Macaca mulatta: one gene and its partners. Each later gene encodes a partner of the first gene's protein in a complex. Links are inferred from orthologs where the notes say so. Each region holds a gene or a part of one and is shown in the gene's direction. Other genes may lie near its edges.

Region 1 (3,572 bases):
CCCCGATGTGGTCACCTCCACCCAAGTGCCCCCCACCGCCACAGAGGAGCAGTATGCAGGGAGTGACCCCAAGAGGCCCGAAATGCCATCTAAAAAGCCTGTGTCCCGTGGGGACCGATTTTCTGAAGACAGCAGATTTATCACTGTTAATCCAGGTAAGTGACGCAGGTCCTCTTTGAGGGTTTCTGCTGCTGTGAACAGTCATACCGTTTTCACAAAATTGAGAGTAGAAGGTGAAGCTTCAGAAAGTACTTAATATTCTTAGAATCACGTATGTCTATCATAGAAAAGGTGCGCACGTGTGAATGTGTGAATGTGTGTCCCTATTTTACTCCAAAAGCCTACTCTCTTATGCTGGAGAAAGTCTTTGTTTGATGTTTGTTTTCTTGCCTCAGAATAACTCCAGGGACTTCAACCGGGCAATGATATAAATGAATTTAAAAAGCCATCGATCTTAAGACGTTTATTAAGATTTCATTCCATATTCATTATATAATGTATCTATAAATGGCTAGTTTGGTGCCAGGGACTGGGTAGGGTGCTGTCCCAGGGAAGCCTGGTCCCTGACTAGAAAGTTTAAAGGGGAAGGCAGAAAGATGACAGACAGCAGCTAGCTGGAGCGTGTGCCCGGAAGTTAGGTAACAGGAACGTTAGAAAGCCAGCAAGCTAGATGGCGGTTAATCGGCAAGCTAGATGGTTAACTGGCAAGCTAGATGGTTAACTGGCAACTTGGAAAACTAGCTAACTGAAGTTTTCAATTGTGAAATGGTCACAGGATGCTGTCCAAGAGAATTACGGAGAGGATAGGGACCTACCCTAACTAAGAAAGGCCACTGTGGAGAAGTGACATGTTCATGGAAATCTACAGAATGAAAGGCTTCAGCTTGGGAGAGCCCATGGTCCTTGCCCAAGAAATACAGCCCTCTCTCCCCAGAGCTCCCATTGCTGTGGGAATGAGCCAGTGTATAGACGGTGAGGCCAGGGCATGAGATCCTCATCTTACCCCTCCTGGTGGCAATTCTGTTGCTCTGTCATATGCTCAAATCTTAATGAACCATCCTGATAGTTTCTGCAAGGGAGCCATAAGCATGAGGAGTTGTTATTGTTGTGAGGGCTTTTCTTAATAAGAAATTCTTCATTTTGCCAGACTACAAGATGTTTAGCAACAATTTTTTTTGCGTCTAAGCTGTTGTGGAGTTATAAGAGTGCAAAAAAAAAGCAACTGGTAAATATTTATTTGCTTTTGCACTTGTAAACATTAAAATTCATCTAAAGCTGAGATCTCGTATGTTAAGATACAACTTAGAATAAATTTTCATGTTTTGAATTACTTTCCTCTTAAAGCTAGTATGAACTAATTTTTTGAAGTGGAGGTCTCCTATGGGTATTGCTCACTTTTGCTGTGATTTGGGGAAAGGTGCAGAGTAGCCTTTTGTGGAACTGAGTGAAGGAAATATGGGGCCACTTGGGAAGCTGTTTCTGTATGAACAGTGACATTCCCTCTAGGAATTACTTTGAAAAAGTTGAATTTCTTGCATTTGAAGATACTGAAGAAACATGTATGGAATGCCCACTGTATAAGAGGCACCAAGCTAGGCTTTGGGAGTAGAACATAGGTCAACACAGACTTCTGTTCTCTTGGGGTTTGCGTTCTGGTAGGGGAGCTTGAGAATATGCCAGTAAACAAATACATACCCTTAAGTAGCCTTAACTGCTGCGGTTGGGGAGCGGAGGGACAGTGTAGCTTTGAGTGGTCAAGGATGACCTCTGAGCAGAGATCCAAGTGGTAAGAAGGAGCTAGCCATGCAAAGATCCAGGGAGGGGAATTCTGAGCTGCAGGAACAGCAGGTCCAGAGACCCTACAGTGGGGAATTAATTTGGATTAGTTGAGGAGCTATCAGGCCAGTGTGGTTAGACCAGGGAGAGTGAGGGGGAGAGAAGGGGATGGATTTAGAGATTGATGGAGGTGCTCTGGAAAGGTACTCGTTGACCACGCTGAGGATTTCGTTCAACTAGAAATGAGCCACCAGTGGTAGATTTCGGCTGCAGCATTACTTGATTGATTTTTTGAAAGACCACTCAGGCCTCTGCGTGGAGATGATATAGGAAGGCAGGAATGGATGAAAGGAGCCCATTTAGGAGGCAGTAGTAATGGTGGCTTGGACCAGTGTGTTTTCTACAAAGACAGGTGGTGGACTTGGAATTGATTTTCAAGCTTGAGTGTTCAGCCTCTGGACTATGGACTCTGGCAAAGTAGCATTCTCAGCCTGCTCCTCTTAAACATTTGTTTGACCACATTCCTGAAAAATATGGCTGCTGAGAGTTTAGGCTGGGAGTATTTACAGTTTGAGAGATGGGAGAGAGGCAGGGACTGGGACCGCCCCAGGTAAGTAGAAATGAGTTCTTGCCATTGGAGTCAGGTTCCAGATTCCAGAGACAGGGGAGAAGAAACGGATGGTAAACTTTGGGGGCTCCCTACTCCAGGTATGAGGTGTGTTGGTCCTCAGCTTCCACCCTACAGAAATCTGAGAACATCTACAATCTTGGCAGAGTGGCTTTGGGAGTCAGATCAACGCAGTCGGCTCTGTCCCTTATTCACCCAGGGTCCTCAGGTAAGTCTTAGTCCCGTGTACTCATTTGCCAAGTGGAGCTAATGATCATGCTTAATGCCAAAGGTGGTGTGGCTGTGGAGACCCCCTCGCTGTCACTGACAAATAGGAGCTGTCAGCAGCCCAGTTGCCACACAATGATGGTGACTGTGAGGAGGCCCCCCATAGCCCTTTCCTTTGCTCTCATCTGTGGACATTAAAGCTATTGGTCCCCAAGTAACTGCCATTAAAAATGACATCCAGATGGCCGGGTGCCGTGGCTCACTCCTGTAGTCCCAGGACTTTGGGAGGCCAAGGAGGTTGGATCGCTTAAATCCAGAAGTTCATGATCAGCCTGGGCAACATGGTGAAACCGTGTCTCTAGAAAAAATACAACAATTAGTAAGGCATAGTGGCTTATGCCTGTAGTCCAGCCACTCAGGCGGCTGAGGTGGGAGATCACTTGAGCCTAGAAGGCAGAGGATGCAGTGAGAGGATCATGCCACTGCACTGCAGCCTGGATGACAGAGCAAGACTGTCTCCAAAAAAAAATTAAAAAAAGACCTCCTCCTGAAACTCAACACTGGTAAATCAGAGCTTTCCCTTATCACCTTCAGCTCAGTAAGAAGGTCCACTTCTTCTGAAAGCTAAAAAAACTTCCTTCAGAACTTCAAGCAATTCAAATCTAAAAATGGTGGTGATGATTGTTTAAGCCAGAGATCAGCAAACTTTGTCAGCTAAGGGCCAGAGAGTAAATATTTTTCAGTTTTGCAGGCCACAGGTCTCTGTTGCAGCTACTTAATTCTGCCTTGTAGCACAAAAACCACCATAGACAATACACAGCTGAGAGGATGTGATAGTATTTCAATTAAAACTTTGTTTGCAGAAACAGGCAGTTGGTCTGATATGGTCCACAATCTGTCATTTGCCAATCCCTGGTTTACGCAGAAATATGCATGTGCCTGTCGATTAGTAAAAGATGTG
Region 2 (4,286 bases), about 14 Mb from region 1:
TTCTTAAAACTCTGCAGAAAAGTCACCTTGGAATTTTTACAAGTAAAATATATTTTTATTCCTAAAGAGCAAGAAATACTTCTAACTTTTTTTAGAAGAGGTTCAATAAAATCAGATATTCTCTCTATAAAATTATTAGTCTAGTTTGCCTTCCTATGAATTGGGAGAAACAATAGCGTAGCCCATTTTGAGTTTACCTTGTATTAGGAAGCATCATCTCCTTTCTAAAGCCTCTTATAATGTTGGTTAGACCCTGTGAAGAAATCCATAGGACATAGTCATAAAATATAGTCATTGAAACCTTCTTGTTCATCAGGTGAAAGCAAACTGAGGCCACAAAATATCTTCTGACTTATTTCCATTTGATTTGGGAATTTCATTTTCTCAGTATCCACTTACTTTAAGATGCTAAGATTATAATTTCTTTGTATGCCAACATGAAAATAAGTCCAAACTATCATTCTTTTCTCATGCTATAGCTATGTTTGTATGAATTACAGTCTCTGTGTGCATACATGTATAATTCCTATTCCTTAGTTTTCATCCTTCAAGCAGTTCATCCCTTCAAAACCCAATGACAAGACCAAAACATATTAAAAAGTTTAGTTGGAGAGCCCAGGGTGAGACACAAAACCTATTTTTCCTCTTACAGAGCTCCTATGCAAACACACAGACACTTGTTCTCTGCCTCTGGAATTACAAATATGTTACTTGGAAAGCAGCAATACTCTTTTGGACTTGTTTAACTTCACTTTCTTTACCTGTCTTTGAGAAGCCTCATACACACATTTAAAAAATACAACTTAGAAAGGTTTTAGTGATAGTGCATACTATCATTTGATTTTATTTCCCTTTTCTCTTCACCTTCACTAATAGAAGGAGTTACTGGCATGCTTCAAAAAGCTTACATTTGAATACTGTCTAAATCAGTGCAGACCCTTGACCAGCTTAACCTTTGCTTGCAAATGACAATGCAGTGAAACCAGAGGAAGAAAAAAATTACTTCCTCTCCTGTTGGAAACCTAATAAGTAGTTAGTCTGACCCAGTTTTCAATAAGAGAGATTTTCTGATGACCCGGCAGGAGTGACTATCTCCAGTCAAAGAAAGAGGAGGGTGAATTTAATCTTTCATGCCACTGGAATGGCAGCTGCTCTCAGCTCTGTCCGATTCTGTGAAGGTTGATGAAGATAGAGCTGGCTTTCAATGTAGAAAGAATTTTCCTTTTGAATATTCCAAACGAGAGCTTTGCACATGTGCCTCAAGAACTGATTGTCTAGGCTCCGACAGGAATGCAGCAGGAGAGGAGCGTATTTCATGCTTAAGACCAGAGAAGAGCCACGCAATACTCAGTGGATAAAAGGCTTGCAGTCCCAGCTGGGAAAAAGAGTCCCATTATCTCCCAGCTGCATAGACATTCCATACGGCTTGGTTCTGCCTGGATGCACAGCATGCCTGGCTGAGAGCTTGAAACAGAGTTCTGCAGAAAAATTGTAAAGATCCCGAGACATTTCCCTGGTAAGATCTGTAAGTACAAAATTGTGCTGTCTGCTGCAATGAGAATATTGCTGGGCAAGCTGCAGCTTTTCTTCCTTTCAATGTCTTTGTATTAGCATAACAGGTAAAAGCTGGGGTTGGGGGAGAAGTCACTGCTTTATTGATGCTGTGTTTCTATGATGTTGATGTTTAAAATGCATTTATTCCTTGTGTGGGAAAAATGTATTGAATCTGTATTCCGGGAGGTTAGGATCAAACCAGGGAAAGAAAGACTACAGGTATATTTTTTGGTGTTTCACTAGTCTTTGCTGCAGTAAAACTAATGGGCAAGACGGGATGACAGTGCTAATTCTGGGACTTTCAGATGGCTACACGCCCTTTCTGTAACAGCAGATGGGAAAATGTGATCACTAAACGTTTTTTGTCCTTTTTTTTTTTTTTTTTTTAATCAAAGAGATGAGGGGTGGGGTTTGCAGTTTTCACCGGATGATTTAAAAGAATGGTTATAAAGTTTCCTAGCGGAGGATTTGGTAAGGGGAGCAAAGCAAGACTGGAGGTCATACGAGCTTACCAAATTTTGTCTGGCATTTTGCTTTATACCCAGCTTCAAGATAATAGCCTCTGGAGTTTCCTTTGCCATTTACACCAGTTAAGCTTGTCAGTATTAAGGTTCTTATAATACTTTATGAAAACTTTCAGAAGTTGATGACTTGGGAACAAAACTTTTAAGAGCTCTGAGATTAGACACGTATAACCCATTATGTTAATGGGATACTATAACATTGGGGTTTGGGGGGAAAATTGGAATTCATAGTTTTTGCTTCTCCAAATGAAAACTACTTATGTTTAAATAATCAGCATCCTGACTATGTCCTCTGAGAAACATTCACAGAATGACTAAATAGAAGTTATACTGAGAAAAAATAGACAAAACAGTAGAATCACACAGAATCAATTTGGAAAATGAGATATTCATAATTTTATCTACAGTGGTAATGTTTTCTGAAGATGTCTGTAAAAGAAGGAGCATATGCTGAATATTGAATTGCTTGTTTTGAGCAATTTTCATATATCAGATGGGTTTATCATCTTTTTATTGCTGTTGTTGAAGGTTTCACCAATTTATGTGCATTGTATTTTATAAGGAAAGAAGATGTTTAAGCAGACTCTTTTCCCTCCTCCTTCACACACATGTGTAAACATACACGTGTTCACAAAACAAACATAAACATACAAAAATACTAACACAATTTGTGTAAAAAATCAGAAATACAGAAGCATTTCATCTTTGATGTTTCAGTGGAGTTTCTTTTTCTTTTTTTTTCTTTTTTGTAGCAATAATCATGGCTGTGCAGTCCAAATATTTCAAATATATAAATGTGGAAACTTTTATATAAAGGTTTATATGAGGTTATACAAATGCATAACTTATCACATCTTATCAAAAAAGTCAATCATTTATAAACGACTTCATTGTGTTACTTCCTTTGAATATTTGTAGTGAAGGACCAGAATTTTTTTTTAGAATTTTTATGTAACTTTCCTTAATGAAAACAAATCCACTTGTTTATTTAGAAAAGGATTACATATTTTCTCTGAGTTTAGACCCCCCCCAAAAAAATCAATTATGTTGTGAAAAGAATGTGTGGTATATTAAATTGATTGCATACTTCTGAGTTGTGTTTTCTTTTTTAGTAAGTAAAAATGCTCAGTAGTATAATATTAAATTTGTACCTTTTAAATTCTTTTATGTGAGGAGAAGGAATGCAAAATATTTGCTTATTTATTCACTTACCTGTTTATTTTAATAGCATATTAATTGAAATGCAGAAGTATAAGTTCAACCCATTAAAAATGACTCAAACTATACATAAAAGTTCAAAAAGGAAACCCCATCACCTGTAAATAACAATCACAAAATTTGACAACTATCATTGGAGACATCCTGATGCCTAACTAAATTCAGATAGGGTGAGAGATAAATACTTTTGTAAGAACGGTTTCTTATTATACACCGTTTTAAAATTAATAAGAAATATTTAGATAATATAGTCAATAATAGATAGTCTTCTGTAAGCATGAGAGGTTATCCTACGCTTAAAAAAAAACCAGAAATATTGGCCGGGCTCTGTGGCTCACACCTGTAATCCCAGCACGTTGGGAGGCCGAGGCAGGTGGATCACGAGGTCAAGAGACTGAGACCATCCTGGCCAACATGGTGAAACCCCGTTTCTACTAAAAATACAAAAATTAGCTAGGCGTTGTGGCACATGCCTGCAGTCACAGCTACTCAGGAGGCTGAGGCATGAGAATCGCTTGAACCCGGGAGGCAGAGCTTGCAGTGAGCAGAGATGGCGCCACTGCACTCCAACCTGGGTGACAGAGTGAAACTCCGTCTCAAAAAAAACAAAACAAAACAAAACAAAAAAACCAGAAATATTGAGTTTGATTTTAGATTTTAATTAAACTGAAAAAAGAGAAGTTGAAACAACATTGAAGAAATTGTTGAATTTCAGGTATAGATTTCTTTCCAAGGGAGATATTATGTCCAGAATAATACCCATATAGCCAAAAATTTTGAACATAGAAATAGTTTGAAGGTTTTTTTTTGGATGCACGTCTATGTAGTAAACAAACTTTTATAACCCTTGTTATGATAGTTAAATGCATTTGAAAGGTGCTTTGTTGTCATCAACTCTACCCATACCACCTGAATTTAAACTACATCAGTTTTACATTATAGAGTATGTACATTCTGGCTGAATTCCCACTATCTTAGACTAAACTTATT
Region 3 (4,193 bases), about 15 Mb from region 1:
CAAACCAAACCAAACCAACATTGAATGAACTAATAAAGCTGCTGCACATACATGTTGGAGTTGGATGTTTATTTGCTTACTACAGTAGTTTAAAAATAGTTTTCCAGTTAACATCGTTTACACATAATGGAGATGTCAGGGTAGGTTTACATGATTGTGTAAGTGGTCAGAAGTTGTTTATGTAGCTCTGAACTGCTGAGAGATGAGCAGGAAGACCTGGGTTCAGCAAAACCCCTGGGGCTTTTTCCCAGAGAGAGAAACAGAGGCTCCTCTGGGTTGCTGGAAATGCTTTCCAGACGAGTTCGACTGGGTTGGCTTTTCTCTGCCTGTCAAAGTCACTTTGCACAGTGCTGGTTAGGGGCTGGGGCATTGCAGCCAATCTCTACGGTTACCCTGAGGTTTGGAGTTGGGGCGAAGGGAGCCACTTCTGCAAGGAAACAGTAGATTCATAATGTAGAATGACCATGATAACTTCGTTCAAAGCACATTCTTTCGAATAACAAGGCTTTCAACATGCCTCACCCCCGCGACCAAGACACCACAAATTGATCCTTGTACCTATTTTATAGCAACTGTTCCCTCTGACCTTCCCCGCCCCCCGCCCCACATTCCAACCTGAAAGCATGTTGCATGGGTGAGACTTCAGGTCTGTAACGCAGCCTGTCTAGCCAATGTCCTTCGCCTAAGGACAGGCAGGTAAAAACCTCCCAGAGCCCCTCTTCTGGCTTGAGTTCAATGCCACCCGCCCACCCACATTCCCTGGTTCGACAATTTTCAGCCCAGAGCAGAAGCATTTGTTTCCATGGCCAGTGCGCCTTAACGATCCCCCGAATTCCGCGTCTCCCGGAGGCCAGAGGTTCGGGTACCAAGGAAGGTCGCGCCTCCTGGTGCCCCGACATTAGGGTTGCAAACGAAGGAGAATCGTCTCGGCTTATCCCTAGCCGCTGAACAGCACAACCCCTACGTCGCTGCACGTTGATAATCTTCTCTTGCCTAAGAATCAGGAGAGGTGCCCTTTCCTAATTTCGCGCGTTGGGGACCTGGGGCTGCCTCCTCTCAGCAGCACCTAGCAGGTGCTGCGCCCCAGCGCTCTCCTTCTCCGGCCGCGCACTGAGCATGCCCGGCTCCGGCTGCGCGCGGGCTCCCGGCCTCCCGCGCCTCTCCTCCTCCCCTCTCGTCTCCCGCCCCTACTCACCCGCCCGCGCCTCTCCCCCTCCCCGCGATTCTCCCCCTCCCTGCGGCTAAGGAGCCGGCAGCCTGAACTCCGGCGCGCCAGGTTTTTCCAGCCGCCGCGAGCGCCAGGAGGGAGGGGAGCGCCGCACCAGACAGAGCACTGGGTTCAACACCAGGATTGGTTACAAGTAGGGAGCTTTCGCCACTACACCGGGCCCCTCGGACTGTGCCGGCGCGGCACCCGAGGCTCTCGCCAGCCCAGCGCCCAGGTGCTGAGGTAAGTGAGGCGCGAGCTGTTTGGGTCCGGCTCCGGCGTGGGCGCGCAATGTCCCGGGGACCTGGCTCGCGGATTTGGGGGGAAAGGGCAGGGTCCGCGCAGGCTGCCTGAAGGACAGAGAGGCTTCCTGGGGCTCTCACTCCTGCAGAGCTGGACGACGTCTATGGGGCCCTACAGCCCAGAGCCTGACAGCCCTGCAGGGTCGGACCAGCGGGAGCTGAACGCCTGAGCCCAGAAGGACTCAGGGCCCCGACGACGCCACCGTCACCCCACAGCGACCCTTCTTCTCCTTCTTAGTCAGAAAATAAGTTTGTTGCGCTGCGAGGCAGCCACAAAACAAGGAACCCAGAGCCCGGAATGCTTCGGGAACCCTTAAAATCAGCTCCTCCAACCGGTTCTGGCCACTGCCCCTTCTCCGTGCGCCCTCACCTCTGGCGCCGGGTTCTTGGCGGGGGTTTTCTTCTGATAGCCCAGTTACAGCCCACAGCAGAGGGAGGCGAACTTGGGGTTTGAAGGGAATTGGGACTAAAGGAACAGGAGCTCGTAGCCGTGATGGAAGGAGCCGTGTGGAAACAGACACTGATTTTTGGAGCGTCCACTGTGTGCCAGGCTGGGTGCTAAGCGCTGGGGCTACGGCGGCGAGTGACAGACCAGGTGCCTGCTCTTATGGAAGGTACCTGACTCCCCAGTCTCTGCCAGGGGAGCTTGTGGGGTGGCATTCGTTTCCAACAACTTCTGGGGGATTTCCAGTTTCTTTTGAGGGGCAAGACAACCGTCTTGTCTCCTCCCCGGACCCAGACAGCAGCGAGCTGTGCGCCAGGCGCCCCACAGACACCAATCCACTGGCGCTCCTTCTGGAACGGAGGGCTCAAAACCTTCGTACATTTTCTCTCTTGTGCTTCGTGTATATATTTTACTATTTATGAAAGGTGTGGAGGTGAGGGTAGGAGGACGTGGGCTCCTGAATCTCTCTGAACCAGCCAGAGAGTCGGCTGCATGAAAACATTTTGCAGCACAGCGGAGCTCCTGCGAGGAGGCGGCTTCGCGCATCGGGAAGATAAGGCGGTTGCTTGCTGGCCAGGGTCTCCAGATTTGGTGCGAAAAAGCTTGCGGAGGTTGTGTAGGGCGAATCAATGTGACTGAGCACCTTGGGTGTGTGGTCTGCGTGGAGGAGAGTGGGCTGGATCTTGAGGTGTGTTGGAGCTTTATTTGTAAAGAGGAGTTCCTGAAAGGAATGTTCGTGGAACTTTTTCTAGTTTTCCTGCTGGAATCAACATAGGGGCGGGGACATGTTTGTCAGAGTAACAGTGTCATTTAATTGCATGGGAAGCTCTTGCAGTTTACTGTAGTGGGAGCTGTATAGTTTAAGGAGTAACGCCACATAACTGAGTCGTTTGGACACCCACGTAGGATAATTTGGAAAGTGCTTGTATTTTTTTTTTTTTTTTGAGGTTTGTGGTTTATGTCCTTTACGGAGTGGGGTAGGAGCGTAAAGACTGTGTAGGTTGCGTATGAGCAGGTCCACACAATAGCGTTCCCAAGTCTGGCTAATAGCAAGTTTGTTCTGTCTTTCTCTGTCTCTACCCAAGTGGGTGAAAAAGAACAGTGTGTCATGAGGACAGGCACCTTGAAGTGATTTGGGTGGCATTCATGAGAAAATTCACATGTTACCCATAAGTTTATTCTTGCTATTGTTATCTTGATTTCTTTAAAGATTTTGTGGGAATCTCTGCAATGGGTCGCAGGAGTAGGTAAGATTGTAAGGATCAAAAACAAGTTTCATGAGACTATTATATTTGCTACCTTATGAAATAGCTATTGATTTGTTTGTTGAAGCTGGTTTCAGCTGCTCTGTCTTGTTGAGGAGAGATGATGATGATAAACCTCATTGTTTTTCCATCTGAACCCTGGGAGGTAGCTGGCAAGGATGGAAAAACCGACCTTTTCAGTTAAAAACTAAGAGTCTAAGAGAAGTGACTTGTTTAAGGGTGCGTGTCAGAGCCACATGTAAGTTTCAACAGAGGTAAATTTTCTTATTTGCAGTTTTTTTTTTTTTTTTTTTTTAAACAACACTTTTCAGTTTCTTTGAGTTGTAAAACTTTTCAAGTCAATTGGGAGTCAATTCAGTACCTTTTTCCATAGTCATTTCATATTGGCAGATAATTAAGAGTGATTAGAGAACAAACCTTTCAAATGATGTTGGATTTTTTATCATTCACTTATTTTATCTACTTCTGTCTCCTTTTTGTTCAAAAGTAGGTCTTCTGATTTCTTTTCCGCTCTAAGCACTAAATCTTTTGGCTGCAATTTTTCTTCTGAAATGTATACAGGACATCCATTCCTTCAATTTAGGTCTTAAAAAAATAAAGCTTCTCAGCAGAAAATTCCCATGCATGGTACTGACTTTTCTACAAGTTTGTCTGATTATGATTTTAACTTGTTGGTTTTTCTTTGTTATATTTGAAGACAGACATAATATACATTAGCTTCAATCTCTCTTATCTTAAAAAATTAATATTTTGTACAAACTTGCTTTTATATTATTTTAGTTGAATGAACCTATTTCATATGATAGGCGGGGGTTGTCTCTACACACTGATTTTTTTGTTCTTTTTTGTTCATTTTTCCCTATAATGCTATGTTTTAAGCCTAGTGAAGGAGGCAAGGAGGCAGGATTTACTGCCTAGATGTATCGATCTTCATTATTATTGGTTACTATCAGAATATATCAATAACATTTATT

Evidence for each region.
Region 2: the proteins of PTPRG (region 1) and CNTN6 are in contact, whole or in part, in a crystal structure (PDB 5E5U), measured with the Mus musculus proteins. The link is inferred for Macaca mulatta from reciprocal best matches to the Homo sapiens genes PTPRG and CNTN6. Residues at the interface, in NP_033007.2 of Mus musculus: Val225, His226, His227, Lys229, Phe288, Thr290, Gln292, Gln293, Asp294, His295, Val296, Lys297, Ser298, Val299, Glu300, Tyr301; in NP_059079.2 of Mus musculus: Arg129, Val132, Arg135, Gln138, Gly139, Val140, Val141, Leu142, Leu143, Cys144, Gly145, Met222, Gly223, Tyr225, Glu226, Pro227, Lys228, Glu230, Leu252, Asn306.
Region 3: the proteins of PTPRG (region 1) and CNTN4 are in contact, whole or in part, in a crystal structure (PDB 3KLD), measured with the Mus musculus proteins. The link is inferred for Macaca mulatta from reciprocal best matches to the Homo sapiens genes PTPRG and CNTN4. Residues at the interface, in NP_033007.2 of Mus musculus: Lys222, Val225, His226, His227, Lys229, Phe288, Thr290, Gln293, Asp294, His295, Val296, Lys297, Ser298, Val299, Glu300, Tyr301; in NP_001103219.1 of Mus musculus: Thr128, Arg129, Ser130, Val132, Ser133, Arg135, Gln138, Gly139, Met140, Val141, Leu142, Leu143, Cys144, Gly145, Val219, Met220, Gly221, Glu222, Tyr223, Glu224, Pro225, Lys226, Glu228, Leu250, Asn304.

Annotation. Positions count from the first base shown.
Region 1 is NC_133407.1:125,783,235-125,786,806, forward strand, and holds part of PTPRG (receptor-type tyrosine-protein phosphatase gamma), read left to right. Parts: coding exon 1-155; intron 156-3,572.
Region 2 is NC_133407.1:139,852,299-139,856,584, forward strand, and holds the start of CNTN6 (contactin-6), read left to right. Parts: upstream 1-1,414; 5' UTR 1,415-1,516; intron 1,517-4,286. UniProt on the Homo sapiens protein: Contactins mediate cell surface interactions during nervous system development. Participates in oligodendrocytes generation by acting as a ligand of NOTCH1.
Region 3 is NC_133407.1:140,836,294-140,840,486, forward strand, and holds the start of CNTN4 (contactin-4), read left to right. Parts: upstream 1-1,327; 5' UTR 1,328-1,450; intron 1,451-4,193. UniProt on the Homo sapiens protein: Contactins mediate cell surface interactions during nervous system development. Has some neurite outgrowth-promoting activity. May be involved in synaptogenesis.